Linked DNA regions of Caenorhabditis elegans. The protein of the gene in region 3 interacts with the protein of the main gene of each other region in a pairwise test. Each region holds a gene or a part of one and is shown on either strand. Other genes may lie near its edges.

Region 1 (4,900 bases), 4.9 Mb from region 3:
ATTGAAACACTAATTATATTGGGAACAGAATTTCTGCGCGAAATTTGAAATTTTAATCGAAAGTTTGTCGGTTGCACATTTTTTGAAATTTCCAGACTCTTTAAAAATTCAAATTTACCTGCCGTGCTCGCACTCTGCGCCTGCTGAATCCAAGGCCAAATCGTCGACGTCTGCCACGGAATCTGTTGGGTTACGGTAGGCAGGGGTACTGTAGGAGGTCGTGGTCGAGGTGGTGGCGGAGCAAATGCGTGACGGCGTGTCGTTGAACTTGACGGAGACGTTTCGGGTGTCGAGTCGGTGCCTGCAAATTTTTTTTGTTTGATTTTTGATGAAAAATTGAGGAAGCGGGGAAGCTTGTTGCGGAAAACGGAAATTTGTGGCGCTGATAAGTGTGATAATCAGTTGGAAAATGACAAAGTGCGTGGAGACCTTTGGACTTTTGGCTACTATCGTTGCATTTCTGTGTGAATTTTTGAAAAGCAATAATTACAGAAAATCCTAGCGTAAGAGTTGCTAAAAATTAAAACATTAAAGGCGGCGTGGATTTTAACAAAAAAATCCTAAAATCAAGTCGAAATTTTTACTAAAAATCAAAAAAAGGTTTGAAACTAAACTTGAAACAGAATTTCTAAAAATTTGCGTTATTTGCAACAGGGGAGTGCGGCAATGATTTATTCCGGCAAATGGGCAAATTGACGGAGTTGAAATTTCCAATTTTTGCCGATTTGCCGAATATGCCGGAAAAACGGCAAATGCGGAAAATTTTAGACAAATTAGGGTTCTGCACTGTTTTTTTTGGAAATTTCAGAATTTCAATTTCAATCGGCAAAATTGTACAAATTGCCAGAATTGAAAATTTCCGGCAAATCGGCGAACCGGCACATTGCCGGAATTAAAAATGTCCTGCAAATCGGGAAAAAAGATTTGCCGAATTCTACCCCTGATTTGCAACTCTAAAACTATAAAATATTCACGAGGATTGATATTCCAGTAACACAAATTTTGGCGTTCATTTTCATTTAGTTAAATATTAAAAAATTTAAGTCTGCCACAAGTTTAGACTTTTGAAATTTCAAAAAAAGTGTGCAAAGTTTGATATTGAACACTTGAACTCAGCGCAAAACTTCAAATTCTCTACAAAAAAATTCAAAAAAAAACTCACCAACACCAGAATCGGGACTGTTCGTCGGCTCCAAACTCAGCGTGGAACTCTGATCCAACAATTGTTGAAGTACAGTAATCTGGACGGAACATGAAGTTGGCTGAAGTTGTGTAGAAATTGGAATATGTAGTACTGTGGATATCATTTTTGGTAGTAGTTAATGGAAGTTTCCAGAATAGTTCACGAAGAAATTAAAGTTTAAATCAAACAAAAAACCCAGGAAGTCTAAAATCGGAATTCCACCCTCTTTTTCCCTATTTTTTGTGCTTTTTCCGCACTTTTACTGATAAGAATCATATGAGAAGTCCGAAGGTCGAGTTGACGTTTTAGAAACATTAAACTACAGTTTTAAAAGTTTTTTAGGATTTGTGAGTGTGAAGTTTCTGAAATCATAATTTTATTTAAATCTATGAAAGTGGGTTAACTATGAGAGGTTGTTTTTACCTAAAAATTGTTTTTTTTTATTTGAAAAAATCACAATGTTTCATAAATTGCATAAACCTACTAAAACCATCTTGACATGTCAAACTTCACATAACTTTTTAAAATTTATTTTTCGAATTTCCAGAAATTTCCAAAACTTTCAGTAACGTTCTAAAATTTTCCAGAACTTATCTCGATTTCCAAAAAATGTTCAGAAACTTCTGGAAGTTTCCAGAACTTTCTCAAAAAACTCTGAAACACTTAACATTAAAAATTCGACTTCTATGACGTCACTCGTGCTTTTCATTTGTAAAATTTATGTGGGCACATTATTTGATAATTCATTTTCCGTAATTTTGCAGGTCAAGCGGTGATGGGATTTTTTTTTCAAATTTTCAAAAACATAGTTCTGATTTTTTTTTCTTCAAATTTTATGATTTTTTTGAAATATTTCAGAGCTTTACAGTTCTTGAAACTAAGTTTTCAAATTACAAACTTACAATTTCAAACAGGCCGTGTGCCAGGACAGCGGGTGCAGAAATCCGTCGACCATCAGCATATTTTGGTGTTGGTCGTTCAATACGAGGCCATTCGGATTCCGTTTTCATTTCGACATCCTTCAAATTTTCGGTTGAAATTGGATTTGAAAAATAATTAATGGAGAAAAACCAGAGCTTTTGAAAATACTCCAAAAATATTCTGTTTAATCGAGAAAATCTTTGACTCAATCTAAAATTGCAAATTAAAACTAAAAGTTTTCTCCAAAAATTTCAAAATTTTATGACTGAAGAAATATAATTTTCCTAATTTCCAACGTTCCAGAAAATAGGCAAGAAAGGGTGGAACCTCAGATTTAAAACTAGCATTTAAACCAAAGGTGGGGCAAATCGGCACATTGCCGGAATCGAAAATTTCCGGCAAATCGGCAAATCGACAAACTGCTGGAATTGAAAATTTCCGGCAAACCGGCAAATCGGCAATTTGCCGGAATCGTAAATTTTTTAAAGTTTTGGTAAATTGCCAAAATTCAAAACATTTTAGGTTTTTTGATACAAACATAATTAAATTATTCAAAACTTTATAAAAAGTTTAATATAAAAATTAGAAACTTTAGCACTAATGTAGTATTGGTTTATAACTATTAAAGCATAAAAACCAGCAAAAAACCCCCCTTACCAAATCTCTCCCATCATCCTCCTCATCATTTTCATTATCATTATTATTGTTGATTCGAGAACTTTTGCTACTGATATTACTTGATGAAATATTAAGTGGTGACGTGGCAGTTGGTAATACAAGTAATAGTGGTTCAGGCCGTGGTTGTCCTTGTATTTGGATCATTGGAATGAAAATTAAAATAAAAAACTAAATTTCAGATAAATAGATAAATAAATAAATAATAATAATGTGTATTCTACTATGGATCCACACGGAAAGGGCGAAAGTGTTCGTGTTTCACTGTCCGCGCGCCCTCAACAAACCCCGCCTACTTATGTTCCGCGTGGGGCGGGGCGCGGCGACCTTTCCGCGCGCACTCGAAACTGTATGGAGGGGGGCCCTATTATTTACTTTGTACTAGCCGTTTTCCGTTTTCCTGTCCACTGAAAAGTGAAGGGATGGAAGAGGGGGGTAAGGCGTAATAAGGGGGAGGGAGATTAGGAATTTTGAAAGGATGCCACAGCGCCAAAAGTTTGGAAGGAACAGTCAAATCTGTTTGGTCTCAGAGGTAGCGCCAGTGGGGGGTTTTGCCTAAATACACTTATACTCATCCAAAACAACCAAATATCAGAATAAAACATTTCAAAAATTTTTAGATTTTTCATAATTTCTGGTCAAAGTTTTGGCAAATTGCCAAAATTTTGAAAAATATGAGATTTCGAGAAAATCCAAAAAAATGCCGCAAAGTTTCAATAAAGTTAAGTACTTTCATTTAGATGCCAACACATCGCCACCCCTCATACAAAGAGACGCACGTTTACAACCCAATGCCCCATATATCGAATATCAGCTCTATTAAGAAGAAATCTACACGTACGATACGTACTGCTGTACTGTTATGACTATCCATCCCTGTGAGAACTTTTTTTGAATAGGTATTTACAACCCCCTACGACGAGACACATTGTTTTTTGGGGACCAACCATCATAATTTTTTTTCGCTTTGTGGTGGTTTACGTTGTCGTTTTCCGGTTTCGCGAGAAAATGTCAGAAAGGAGGAGCTCAGACTAGATTTCAAGAACATGGGAATTCAGAAACATAGGCTACAGATTGTTTCATTCGTCATCGCTCGGACGGGGGTTCGAACCAGCGACGTAATTTCAGTGTTCAAACACAGTTAAATCGCGGGGTATACATTGTGTCTTTTGAGGCATAAATCATACATCAGCGAAGCGCAAACGCACACAGTGTATACATCGCGAACAAAATGCGATCATTTTCGCGATGTGTACATTATGTATGCGTAATGCATATATCGCGAAAGGGGGAATTTCAAATTTAAGGCATATATTTTTTGGCCAACTCTCCCTGGGGGCAACAAAAAAGGGGACAACATTTGAACTCTCCCTGGGGGGCAACAAATTAGGGGGCAACATTTTCATAAATGTAGGGGGCAGCAAAAAAGGGGGCAACATAATAGGGGTCAACATTTGAACTCTCCCCGGGGCAACAAATTAGGGGGCAACATTTTAATAAACTTCTTGCCAACGCAACGGAAGTTGAGCAATTTCCTCCGCATAGAACTCCTGAGAATTGGAGCTTCTGGCGGGTCTTCACAGCTGTATGAGGTCTTGCGTTGTCATGTAGCAGCAACAATTTTGATCCTCTAGGGCGATGTAATTGATGAGCATGGACTACCTTTTCCAATTGAGTGCAGTACAGGTCAGCGTTGATGGTGACGCCGTCTGGAAGAAGCTCTCGGAAAATGACACCCGTACTGTCCCACCAAATTGAGAGAAGCACTTTTTTCTTGTGAAGTTCCCCTTTGAGATCAGGTTTAGCGTGTTCCTCGACCGGGACCCACTGTTTCTTTCTGGTATGGTTCACATAACACAGGTGATTCGCAGTGTAAGCAAAATGCTTGAACCCTACAAGGAATAGTCGTTTTCTCAGCTAAAAACTTTCTACCTAACGTTTAAATTGACACAAATAGAGTAAATATCATTTACTACTGTATCTGATGATTTAAAAGCAAGTTTTCAAAAAAAAATTTTTTTTGGATTTTTGAAATTCATAAGGGTCCCCCCTTATGATCCGCTTTGAAAATCATAAGGGTCCCCCCTATGAAAATTTATTTTCGTGGAAACTTTTTTTTTC
Region 2 (6,937 bases), on a different chromosome or scaffold from region 3:
GTAGAACCGAGAGGAAAGTGAAATAAATTAAAAAGTCGGTGTATGGAGCTGAATGCATTGATGACAATGAAACATATTTAGGATGTTACATGAAACAATGGAAACACTCAAGCGACCACTACACCATAAACGAGAAAATGGTTGGATCAAATGGGTAAGAAGGCGTAATTAAAGCGCAGACACTGGAATGATACGAGTTTTAAAAGGCAATAAATGGGGAGATATTTAATAAAATAAAAATTAGTGCGCCTAGAAATCCAGATAAATGGAAATTTGTGGTTTTGTACCCGTGTTGATCACGAAAAGAGTATGGGATGGGATGGGGAGAGGCATCAATACCTGAAGAGAAATGATAAGACAAGAGAGAGATTGGTATGGTTTCAGAAATTTTACTGAACATGAAATGCAAGAAAACATGGAACGCAACATGATTGTACATGGTACACGAGGGGGGGGGGGGGGGTGACAAAAGTCATTAATAAATTAGAACAAGTAAGTAAAGAAGATCCGAGTAAATCACTTTAAAAACAGGAAAAGGAGAGAAAGAATGAGGAACTCTCCTGCAACAGACGACTACAATTATTTTTCTATTAATTTTCTGATAAAACATGGAAACGACTGGGGTTTTGGGGGGAATGTCGGGAAAGGAAATCACAGAAGGAAAGAAAATGGTGTCGTTGGGTTCAAACGGCGCTTTGGTCTACTCTTATTGTACAAATAACCGGAGGAAACGAGATTCATGGACGGGGATAGGGAAGGAGAGCATGGATAAAACTATTGATGATATATGGATTCAGTCAAGGCCGATCTGCAGTGAATAGCTCTTTGTAGAGGGCAGGAAGCTTTTCAGATGATGTTGGATCAGACATTCGGAAGTTTTGAAGAGCCTGTAAATAGAAAAATAATAACCTCAAAATTAAGCATTCCAGATTATTTATATCCAAGCTTCAGCAAATAATACCTCTTGATGCAAACGAGCTGTTTGTCTGATTCTTGTCTCAACATCTTGAATTCGGTGAATCGTGTCTTCCATGCATCCAATTCTTGGCATGACACTTTGGTACAACGCGTTCTTCAGTGTTTCTGCAGTGGCAATCGTCGCAGTGTCAAGAATCCCAATTCCATGAGAAGAAGACACTTGCTCCAGAATAAGTCCAGCGGCAAGAAGAGCTAATTCGGATTGATGCGGTTGTAAATGAACAATTTCTTGAAGAGTGTTATTAACTTCAACGATCAATTGCATCTGAAACATTGAGTATGAGCCGATATTACTCTATGAAAATAAATACCTCGGCATCATCTTCGGCAATCAAGCATGCAAATGGAACAGAATACCTTTCACCGCACACTGCCTGCGCGTCTACATTGTAATACATAGCAGCAAAAACGAGTGATAACTCAAAAACGCTTCCCTTCAGCAATTGAATCTGTGTTTCTTGCGGAAGATTCATAAATCCATCAATACTTTTGGCAAACTCAATAATTGCTTGAATAAGCGGATTGAGCTCCCTAGCGAAGAGCTCCCAACCACCAGCTCGACTCAAATGAGGAATACAATCAGGATCCACGTTACAAACTCCATGTTGTGTTGTATAGGAACTGTGCTGCTGATTGAAAGCTCTGATAACGCGAGTGGCAACGTCTTCTTCTGGAACTTGTGGCGATGGGAAGCTTCCTCCAGTGGCTTGATGTGCAACATATTGTGTGCCATTTGTAGATGATGGTGTTGCTCCGTACATGTTCTGTGGCATTGGAGTCGTAGGAGTCGCAGCAACAGCTATAGAATATCCGTTAACAGGTGTTGAAGTTCCAGATGGATAATGACCGTACATACTTTGATCAAAGCTGAAAATGACGTTGCATGACAGAAAAATGTAGGTGATAATTACCAATAACTGGGATGGGATGGTGGAGGGGAATAGTCGCCGTAAATTGCTTGGTATCCAAGACCATTTGCAGCTAATTCTTTATGCATTCGAACCTGAACCTTTAAGGATTGAACAGACAAAAACGATGACATGAATACGAAGTTTAGAATTGGGAATGTAAATACCTCATCTTCTACTTTTTCTCGTTGCTTTTTTGACATTCGTCCAAATTTAACTGCATCCCGTGACATTCCTAACTCAATACACTTTTTGAGACGGCAGTATTGGCATCGATTTCGATTCACTCTGAAAATACGATATTAAATTTCTGTAACATTCCTAACTGAGATACCTATCAACAACACAATTCTTCTGTCTCGGACACTGATAATTGACGATGGATGATTGACTGCGTCGGAAAAAGCCCTGAAAAATGTATAAGAAATAAAGTAATTCTGGTAAAAAGGCATACCTTGCAGCCTTCACATGTGATAACTCCATAGTGAACGCCAGACGACTTGTCACCGCACACTTTACATGGTATTACTTCTATCTGCGCTGATACTGAAAAAGTAAATTTAGAATCTTTAAAAAGTTCAGTTTATCACAATTTTGGAGTGTTTTTTTTCAGAGTTCGGTTCCAAATTCCAAATTTCAAGGGTTTTAAAGGTTAGTAGGACAATGAACAAAAAATACGTGCATACCCAGAAGAGATTTGTTTTCGGGAAGTCCCCGGAAGCTCATATTATCAGGAAGAATTCCGGCCATATCGACTCGATTTGTATCAATAACACATGTCAATCTTTTGGAATTGTTTCCCATTTGAAGATCTCCGCCGCCTATACGAAAATCATCGGGAACTGACTTAAACTCCCGAGCAAAACAAAAATTTGGTTCCGATTTGATCGTATGCGGATGAAACATGCAATTTGAACTCTCGCATCCAGATTCATCATTTTCCTTGCTTTTTGGAGTTTCAATTGAGAGTGATGGTTGAAGAGATGACTTTGCATGAAGAGTTCGTGTTGCATCAGCCAACTTCTGCTCTACAGCTTGCATCGGAAAATTGTGAGCTTGTTGTCGCGATCGAGGCCAGCTGAAGATAAAATCAAGAAAGGCGGACTACAATTTAAGCGAGTAATGATAGGATACGCGGAAAGATTGAACGTCTAGAAACAGTTTGCGAAACGTTTTTTTTTTACGAAATGCCATGCAATCGCAGAGCTTAAGAAACTCACCTATTAGTTACTGGAGGATATAAATTGAAATTAATTGAAATTTCGAAACAAAAACCAGCCGTGGATCTTAACGTGACTTATTATTATTATTTAGGTTTTATCAATAAGATATAATCTAAACATAATAACTAGCTTATAGTTAGGAAAAAAATTCACGCAAAATAAATATTTAAATTCCTGCTGAACATTTTTTTTCATTGTTATTTGCTTTTGGGGGGGGAATTAGCCTTAAAAATTGAATCATTGCATATTTTAGATTAGAATAGTAAGATTTTTTTCGAATTCTAAATTTAAATTTGAGAAAAATGGTTGAAAACAAAATATTTATGTCAAAAATGAATTTAAAAAAAAACGAATATCAGCGAGGCGGACTACGGTAGGCGACATAAAATGAACTAAAGTCCGCAAACACTCTTAGCACACCGTACCTTCTGCGTTTTTAATATTTATAAATATTAAAAACGCAGAAGTTCAAATATTTGAAAAAAAACAAAAAAATTTTGTTTTTGCATTGTTTTGCAAATGGAATTCTTCAAAAGAAATTTGGTGAAACTGGAAATTTTAATGTCTCGCCTAAAACGCAAAAAAAATGGCTCAGCTTTTTGGTATTTTTAAATGAAAAATTTGACGAAAACCCGCCAAGAGAAATATGCTTCGGGAGTTCTTTATGTTTTTGTGCATAAATTTTAATCAGAAAATGTATACGGCAAGAATATAAAATCTATATCAATCTCACTTCGAATAGCATCACTCATTTCTGATTCAGATAAAAATCTCGTCGTCCCCAACTCTTTTATTATATCGGCTCGATTTTCAACCTCGTTTCCTAGGACCACAATTATCAGGTCTTATATATTCGCAACATATTTCATATTTCCTCATCATACCGCTCATCCTTCATTTCCTGCCTATTCTCAACTTTATCCCCATCTCACCGCTCCTCTCATAACAATTACAGTGTTTTGAAAGAATGAAGAGACGGTGACGATGGAGGATATGGGAATACTGAGAAACAAGGTAGGAAATGAAGAAGACGTAGGAATAAGAAGATGAAGAAGACAATTGTGTGTACGTCTCCGCGCTATTTCTTCATCTCGAGAAGTGACCTCGGTACCTGTGCACGGTGTGTTGCGCGCGAACGGTACGGTATGCCTCCCGCCAGGAGGTGACAGGACCCCGCGTCGTCGACGTCGTCGCGCTGTGTGAGGCAGGATATAGACGACGTGGTTTGCGATGATGGTGGTGGCGGCAGCGGCAGCGACGACGACGACGGGAGGTTGCAATTTCGTAAATTGTACTTTCCGCTGATCATGCGAAACGACAAAAGAGAGACGGAGACGTATACACAGCAAGTACGTGATGGTACCGCCGCGGAAAACTGGGAAAAGTGAATTTGATGGCAAAAACGGTGAAGAACACCCGAAATCTGGTTAAAAATATGTGCAAAATTTCAGAAACTTTCAGCCATCTTAGATAGTCTTCGAAACTTCCATTTTGAATTGAAACATCCCTACAGTATGCTAGAACATTACGGATTGCTTCAAATGTCTAGAGTTAGATCAAAAGATTTCAGGACACCCGCCGAGGTGCCACGTAAACAGAAAAACAACTCACTACACGAACGATGACATTTCGAGAACTGAAGTGAGGTGCCGATTTGGGCCAGTGACCTTACAGGCCATGCCATGCGCTCTGATGTGCCTTGACCCCTGATCTTCTTAAAAACCTTTTTTCAAGATTTTCGAAATGAGTGAAAATGGTTTTGATGTTGTTTGGCTAAACTCTCGAAATGACCATTGAAATGTTGCATTGAAGACCATCGAAGCGAGAACATGCACCTGGTACCGACAGTGACCACCTAATGGTAGAGAATACCGGTTTTCGGTGACACGCGGCTGGACGGGAAAAGGTGTCCCTTACCCCCACTCTCATTAGTCACTGATAAAGTACATTGTGTGAGATAATTAGAATGTAATTTCAAGTAAAAAAAACCAAAAAGCTGTGCTTTAAGATTTTTGCAATTTAATAGTAAGTGTAAACTTAAAAAGGGGAATAAAGAAAACTGAATTCAAGGTCAAGATGTGAGACGAACTTAATTGGGAATAATAACTCGATGAGGAGATGAGATACCATTAATACTTATTATAACTGCCGCACTGGTACTGACTCGTGCGGGCCATAAAGACTGTCCGTATTGAGTTGAAGTTATGACCAATAAGGAAAAATTTAGTAAGGGGGAGAAAATTATTTTTAGTGCTCCTTACATAATAAATTTAGATGTATAAAATAAATAGTGAAAGTAAATATCTAGAAGTAAAGCGAGAAAGAGGGAGAGAAAATCAGAGATCTTTTTGAGATACTGATCTTAATCTACAAAAGAGGGAATGTGGTTTCGGAAAAGAACAGAACACGACCACAAATAAGAAAAAAACCATTCGATAAGTATTTTTAATATCCTGCACAGTTTCAAGATGTTGAGTTATAACAAAATAATAGTACAATTCAAATATCAAAATATACCATAACTGAAAAGTGTAACTTTTGCAAAATAGACACAGTAATAAAATTGAAATTTTCAAATCAGTATTAATCCGACAGAAAATGGGAAAACGAATCTTCTCATAAATGAAAAAGGGCGCACGAAAATCTGAAGCATGGTTTTTGTGCTCCATTTACTGGGTACGACTATTTATTTGGTACTGGGTGCAAAATAGATACCGTACTATAATTGAGCCACATTGTTCATATCCTTTTTAGCTTATATCTCATTTTGTTTCATCGAAAAGTTATCAATTCACAAATTGCTTCGTAGTTGACTGTGTTTTGATATTTGTAAAATTAGTCCAGATATAAATTGACAAAGTAGAGTAATGGATTTCAGTACTGTGAGACTTTTTAAACTAGAAGTTTCAAGTGTCAAAGGAGGAACCGGGAATTGTTTATAAATAAAACTACAGTATAAATAGGAATCACATAATAAATAACTCAGTATAATACCAGAAAGGAAAAGCAAATAAGTTTAAGTTGCGCTAAAGAAAAGAAAAATACGGTGATGGTAAAAATAATTTAAAGTCCAAAAAAAAACAATTATAAGCGTATAAGATACTGTAAAACTGAAACATAATCAAAATCCACACAAAGAAGCCAAAAACGAACTACGACATCATTTCAAAGTGTTGAAATGTCGATTCTTTCTTCAATTTTGGGCTGTTCCCTCCTTCACAATTCATCTTTTCAAAAGGGCATTTTGAAGAGTATTACGGTAGAGGAAGGTGGTGGTCTCTATCTCGTCCAACTATGGGGCAATGGCAGAGTGACCGTGAAATATAGGCATTTTTGATCAATTTGATAGACTTGATAACAGTGGAACGTGCATAACATAGATGGTAAACATTGGTTAGACAACACAAACACATTTTGAAACCTTTCAATTGGAATCTGGAACCTAGAACCTGGATCATGGATCTTGAAACGAACTACTGAATTAATTGTTGTCCTATCGGCAAAAATGAATCTTTTTTGGGTTAGCCATGGCCGAAAACGGGGTGACCGGGTTAGCGGGTCCGGTCGCCGGGCCATGCCCTTCCCCGTTTTTTTGCATCTCTTTCTCTCTCCTTCCACCAACATCTTCGAGAGAAGAAGAAGATGAAGAAGACGTGAGATGACCTACCTCGCATGTCGTCGTCCGAACGCAAGTGACCCGGCCGGTCAGTAGCCGTCGCCGGTAGGGATGCGTCGATCCGGTGTGTCTGCGCATCACAACACTCTCGTCCCCACCCATCCCCTCTATCTCTCCGTTCTCTCGATCACGGCGGCGCCCTCCCAGATCGC
Region 3 (5,148 bases):
GGGTATGCAACATTGCTTTAGATTTTCTCAATAGCTCCTATTTTTCAATATTTTGGCAATTTGCGAAAGCTTACGAAAAATATAAACATTTTTGGAGTGTTTTATTATGATTTTTCGTCGTTTTGGATCATTATAAGTGTCCTTTAAGTCGTTTCGAGACCGAGTACCGTATTCTCGCAAAAGATTCTAGTAATTTCCTTAATGGGCAGAACCTAAATTTTTTTTTTCAGAACTGGTGAGACGAAGCCAGTGGATCGTGTACACTTCTCCCTTCCAAACCACGGAGAGGATCGTCATTTCCCTGATGATTTCCACTACTCGTTCGAAGTTGACGGCAAGATTCATCACGCAGATGTTCATATCAAGGAAGCCGTCTCATTCAAAATGGGATTGGATCAAGCATGTCAGGTCACCGAAGGAATGAGCGAATTCGTTGTCGACGGAAAGCCGGGATGGGGATTCGCGGAAGTCGAGTATCGTATTCAGCCGTATTAAAAAATTATCAAATTCAGATTTTCTACCTTTTCCACTTACTTTATAAAACCGTTTCATATGCTACTAACAAATGTGGGGTCAACGTGCAGAACAGAGCAACAGTAAAATGTACAAAAAATAATAAAACACTGGGAGGGGATAACAAGTTCCGAAGAACTAAAAACATGAGACAACAAAACATTTAGAACGAGAAAACAAAAACAAAAGAACAGAGATTGTAGCAGCTACGTAGCAGAAGTTGAAGCCCTTTTGTCAACCTCATCCAGTAGATAGTTCACCGTTTCTTGGACACTTTTGTCAATTGGAGTCTGTAAAACCAAATATTTCAAGTTTTCAAATTGTTCAGTTCTCTTACCCGAACAATATACTTTGTGCACGATTTGAAGCGAAGATATAGTCCCTTGCGAGGAGACTGCACCTCCAGAGGCTTCTCCTTTCTCGGGCGGCCTCTTTTGCGAACAAGGCTTGCCGTCGTGTCCTTCTTCGGCTGAACTTGCTCTATTTCGGGCTGCTTCTTCTTCATCACCGGAATCACTGCAGTCCTGGGAAGCGAGTAGGGAGTTTTGAGAGTTGGTGGACGAAGAATCCTCGGAGTTGTGATATTTGACCAGCGGAGAACGGTATTCTTGGGTGGTGGTTGATCTTGCAGATTTTGGGAAGACGTGGATGCTGTTGTGAAGTTTGTGAGTGGATGATGTCTTTTCTCATCTTCATCATTCTTCTTTTTCTCCACTGCAGTTTCTACTGGTTGCGTAGTGGGTGGTCTTCCAACCGGTCTTGCTGCTGAGGAAGAAGGACCATCAGAACCTTCCCTATTACGAGCCATCGATGCCTGATTAACTGAGTAGAACTGAGTGAGTACATGTGGAGCTCGCATGGTCTGCCCACAAAACTTCTCGGATCCGAAAGAAGACTTCAGGGAGGTCAGTTCGTTTCTCTGAAAAAAGTTAGATTAAATCTTCTTTGTTCTTTGAAACTTACCGAAACACCAACACGATCAGCACACTTTGGAATGATAGACATATTGGCAATCTCAATACATCTACGAACCGTCGCACTGCAAAATCCGGTCATCTGAGCCGACACCTCGTCCGGTTTCTGCCAAACAGTTCCAGCAGCTCGATCGCCGAGTCGTTTCGCGTATTCTCGATTCCAAATTGCTGTTCTAGCTACCATGACGCGTGTCTGATCGCAAAGATGAGCACGGATGGCAATAACGGTAGAATCGTCGACGAATCGGAAGGAGCTCATATCCACAGGCTTTTGAATTTCGGCGCAACGATAACATCTTCCATTGACTCCTTTGACGAAGGCGGGGGCCTGAATTTTGAAAATTGTTCGTTGTAGGTCTCGCCACAAATAATTTGATTTTGTAAAGTACTAGCCAGTGGCAAAATTTTAGGAAGAACTACGGTCGCACCACGAACAATTATCTCCAATCATCCCGGCGCAAAAATGTAAGCGCCTTTTAGAACTACAGTAACCCTTCTCCTCTTCTTTTCAATGTCGCTGAACTTTCTTATTTTTCGCCAAGATTTTTTTAATTTATTGAGAGAAACTGGAGTTGGGTTACTGTAGTTCTTCAAAAAATTTACCATTTTGTGCAACCATTAGATGAAAATATTTTTTGCTTATGATGAAAACAGGGAATGAAATAATATAATTATTGGATGAAAAACACTAGTAATTGCTGAAAAGTTTTTTTGTTAATGATAATGCAGGAAAATTCGAAATATTGAAGTTCCACTTTAGGGTTTTCCAAAAATATATAATTTACCGCCATATTCGAGTAGAACGTCATAGGAGTTTTATGATTATATGCAGGAATTTGGACACTTTTTGGAGCCACGGTACTGTTTTTGGCTTTTGGACGGAAGTTATTCGCTTGTCTGATCACGGCGTTTTTCGTCATCTCCAGAGCTACTTTTTTACGTTCCATTATCGATTTGGAGAGTGGAAGGATTGGAATTGCGCTCGCCGAAATTTTGGTTCGTAGAAGCTGTGATGGATTGATTTCCTCCAATCTGGAAAATTTGCTTTTTAGCAGGACTTATTAAACAAATTGTCATTATTTTGGAAGTCAAGGTTTTCAAAAACCCGAAATTCAACTTACTCAATTCGTTTTCCGACTCTTTCCGTATGTTCACTTCCAAGCGTTGCGTCTTCCTCGAGAATTTTCCCTTCACTTGGTTCGCTTACAGACTCCCGAGTACTTCCACTTTGTCGCTCGAGAATTGGCGGCGGTGTGACAGCTCGCTGGTACCGAGATCGCAGAAATTCCTCCTCATCAGAATCATAACTGTTTCGGAAGATATCTGAAGAGAAAATGAGCTTTAAAAAATCAAATTTTCATGGAAAATACCTCTTTTGGTTCGATTCGACTCAAATCTGGATATCAGAGATCGCTGTGGTGGAAGATCTGGTGGGCGTGTAGGGTCGGCCATAATTTTAATTCTGAAGACGGGTGATTGTTTTGTTTAATAAAAAACTTTTTAAAAACTAACGCTTCCTCCTCTTCGTCGAATCCAACAACGTCCACATCCTCATCAGAGTCTGTAAGCACTATTGGCTTAGATACAACAGGATTCGGATTTTTTGGAGAATTTTGTGCCTTTTCGAGTGTTACTTGTTGGTTATTAACAACTAACGGGGACTTCGACTTGTCTGTATTCTGAGAACGAATGACGTAGACTTCTGAAAACAATATTTTTATTTAACAGAGGACCATTTGCAAACAAACTTCTTCGTGGCAAATTTGGATCCGTAGCTTTTTTAACTGGCTTTGGTGGAGGTGGGAGACAGGAATCTCCGAATGAAGCCCATCCAATATGAGCTTTAGGTTCATAATTACTAGAAGATGCCGGTGGTGAATCAGTTTCGTCGTCGTCGTCGACTATCAGAAGATCATCGACGCTCAACGTTTTCTGGGATGTGGAAGGTTCATCATCTTTAGCAGTTTGCGGTTTTGGATCAACTTTTGGAAACTTGACCGCTGCTCGTTCTTCTTCATTCATAAAAGCAAATGACATTGGGGATATTGGTGGAAAAGCTGCGGGTGCAGGCTCTGTCGTCATGGAATTGTCTAGATTGGCAACAATGGGTTCAGAAGACATCCTGGAAACAAAAAATATGGAGATAAAATTTTTAAATTTAAATTTAAACTGTTTTTATTTACCAGAAAACTAGAAAATCCCAATGAGAAAGAAGGGAAATTAATAGAAAAATAAAGTTTTAAAAATACCTAAATTTTCTACAGTACCCGAGGTCTCGCGAAGATTTTGGTCCGCAGTACGCAAACACTCTTATGCTTGTTTACCGTAACCACTGAAATATTTTTTCGTTGTTTTTCTTTATTTAAAAAAAGTTATCTATTTTTCGAAATTTATTGAAAATTTCACATTTCAAAACCGTCAATAATTCTTTTAAAATTCATTTTTCGCAATATGGATTTTCTTCAAATGTTAAACCAGAGTTTTCTTGTAATTCCTTGAACAAATCACATTTTTAAATCACATAACCATTTTCGTTTCTGGAAATCTTCACTTTGAAGTTGAATTCTTGTTAGATTATATTTGTTTAACTCTGAAAAATAGTTAAAATGTGTGTTTTTATATGTTTTGTTTCAGATTTCCCCTGCTTTGTTTTCCTTTCCTAGACTAAGTTTTTAAATTTCGATCAATCCTTTTTCTTCATTTTACCCTCTCAAAACCATTTATTTACTCACTTGAGAGACGCAGAGAAACCATCGATGGCCTAGATGTCTCGTCTCGCCTCCTTCTCGGCCACGCGCGCCTATCTATCGATGTTTTTCTGCCTGTTCGCTCCGTTTTCTTTTTCGAATCTTGACCGCTTCGCATGCCTGTTCCGTTGCGGTTTCTGAAGCGTTTCGGTTGCGTCGCGGTTCCCGGCTCCGCCCTACTACCCGTTCGAGTCTCCCACGGTCTGTAGCACGTCTATCACCTATGTGAATGAGTGTGTACGATCATCTTCTTGCCAATCGGGTTATTGGGTTCAATGGATCGTAGATTGATATGAAACTCGAATTCGGGAAGGAATCGCCACGCAACGCAGCTAGAAATGCTTGAGAAACTTGCGAGAATTTGAGAAGAAAATAAATTTCAGAATTATTATTAAAAATTTCCAATGAGCGACCGACGGCGGCACGGAACAGAGGATTATCAAATCGCCGGTCTCAAGCATTCAATGACAAGTAAATCGATATTCATAGATTCAGAATTTCCAATAATTTTTCCAGGTGTCGCCTCAAGCTCCCACGGTGGTGCTGGAGACCTCCAACAACAATTTTCCAGGGAAGATCCACCCGTAAAAACTACGCAATACACACTTGTAAGCTGGAAAACGTTTAAAATTCAAAATTTTCAAATTTTCAGCTTCAACTAATCAATATGGTTCGAGAAAATCCGATTCTCTACGATGAGGAGATGCAAGCCGCCACGCCGGATGCTCAGTTGAAGGTTCAGAAACGAGAAGCATGGGATCGGATACGTGCTGATATAGTTTGGCAGGACATCACTCTTGTTCAGGAAGTCTGGTCGGATCTTCTCGATCAATATGCTAGAAAATCGATTGATATGTCCGATGGACTAATTGAGGCAATGCGATGGACAGATTCATTGATTTTTAAGAAGAAAT

The links. The genes of interacting proteins can lie anywhere in the genome.
Region 1: the proteins of xnd-1 (region 3) and elf-1 interact in a two-hybrid assay, tested with the Caenorhabditis elegans proteins (one large-scale study listed by BioGRID).
Region 2: the proteins of xnd-1 (region 3) and nhr-23 interact in a two-hybrid assay, tested with the Caenorhabditis elegans proteins (one large-scale study listed by BioGRID).

What each region holds. Positions count from the first base shown.
Region 1 is NC_003281.10:704,455-709,354, reverse strand, and holds the start of elf-1 (ETS domain-containing protein), read right to left. Parts: upstream 3,022-4,900; 5' UTR 2,927-3,021; coding exon 2,762-2,926; intron 2,203-2,761; coding exon 2,086-2,202; intron 1,263-2,085; coding exon 1,163-1,262; intron 799-1,162; exon of another isoform or gene 649-798; intron 302-648; coding exon 119-301; intron 1-118.
Region 2 is NC_003279.8:7,214,813-7,221,749, reverse strand, and holds nhr-23 (Nuclear hormone receptor family member nhr-23), read right to left. Parts: upstream 4,967-6,937; 5' UTR 4,789-4,966; coding exon 4,721-4,788; intron 2,965-4,720; coding exon 2,573-2,964; intron 2,433-2,572; coding exon 2,341-2,432; intron 2,295-2,340; coding exon 2,221-2,294; intron 2,175-2,220; coding exon 2,054-2,174; intron 1,988-2,053; coding exon of another isoform or gene 1,982-1,987; coding exon 1,890-1,981; intron 1,846-1,889; coding exon 1,290-1,845; intron 1,244-1,289; coding exon 962-1,243; intron 888-961; coding exon 798-887; 3' UTR 522-797; downstream 1-521. UniProt on the Caenorhabditis elegans protein: Orphan nuclear receptor. Transcription factor. Modulates expression of target genes, such as Period protein homolog lin-42 and microRNA let-7, by binding to hormone response elements (HRE).
Region 3 is NC_003281.10:5,602,921-5,608,068, reverse strand, and holds xnd-1 (X chromosome NonDisjunction factor), read right to left. Parts: upstream 3,610-5,148; 5' UTR 3,609-3,609; coding exon 3,236-3,608; intron 3,190-3,235; coding exon 3,000-3,189; intron 2,950-2,999; coding exon 2,858-2,949; intron 2,811-2,857; coding exon 2,609-2,810; intron 2,520-2,608; coding exon 2,273-2,519; intron 1,816-2,272; coding exon 1,477-1,815; intron 1,433-1,476; coding exon 851-1,432; intron 804-850; coding exon 720-803; 3' UTR 513-719; downstream 1-512. Other genes in the region: C05D2.8 (DUF7064 domain-containing protein), read left to right, coding at 231-495; madf-11 (MADF domain-containing protein), read left to right, coding at 4,639-4,705, 4,751-4,842, 4,887-5,148.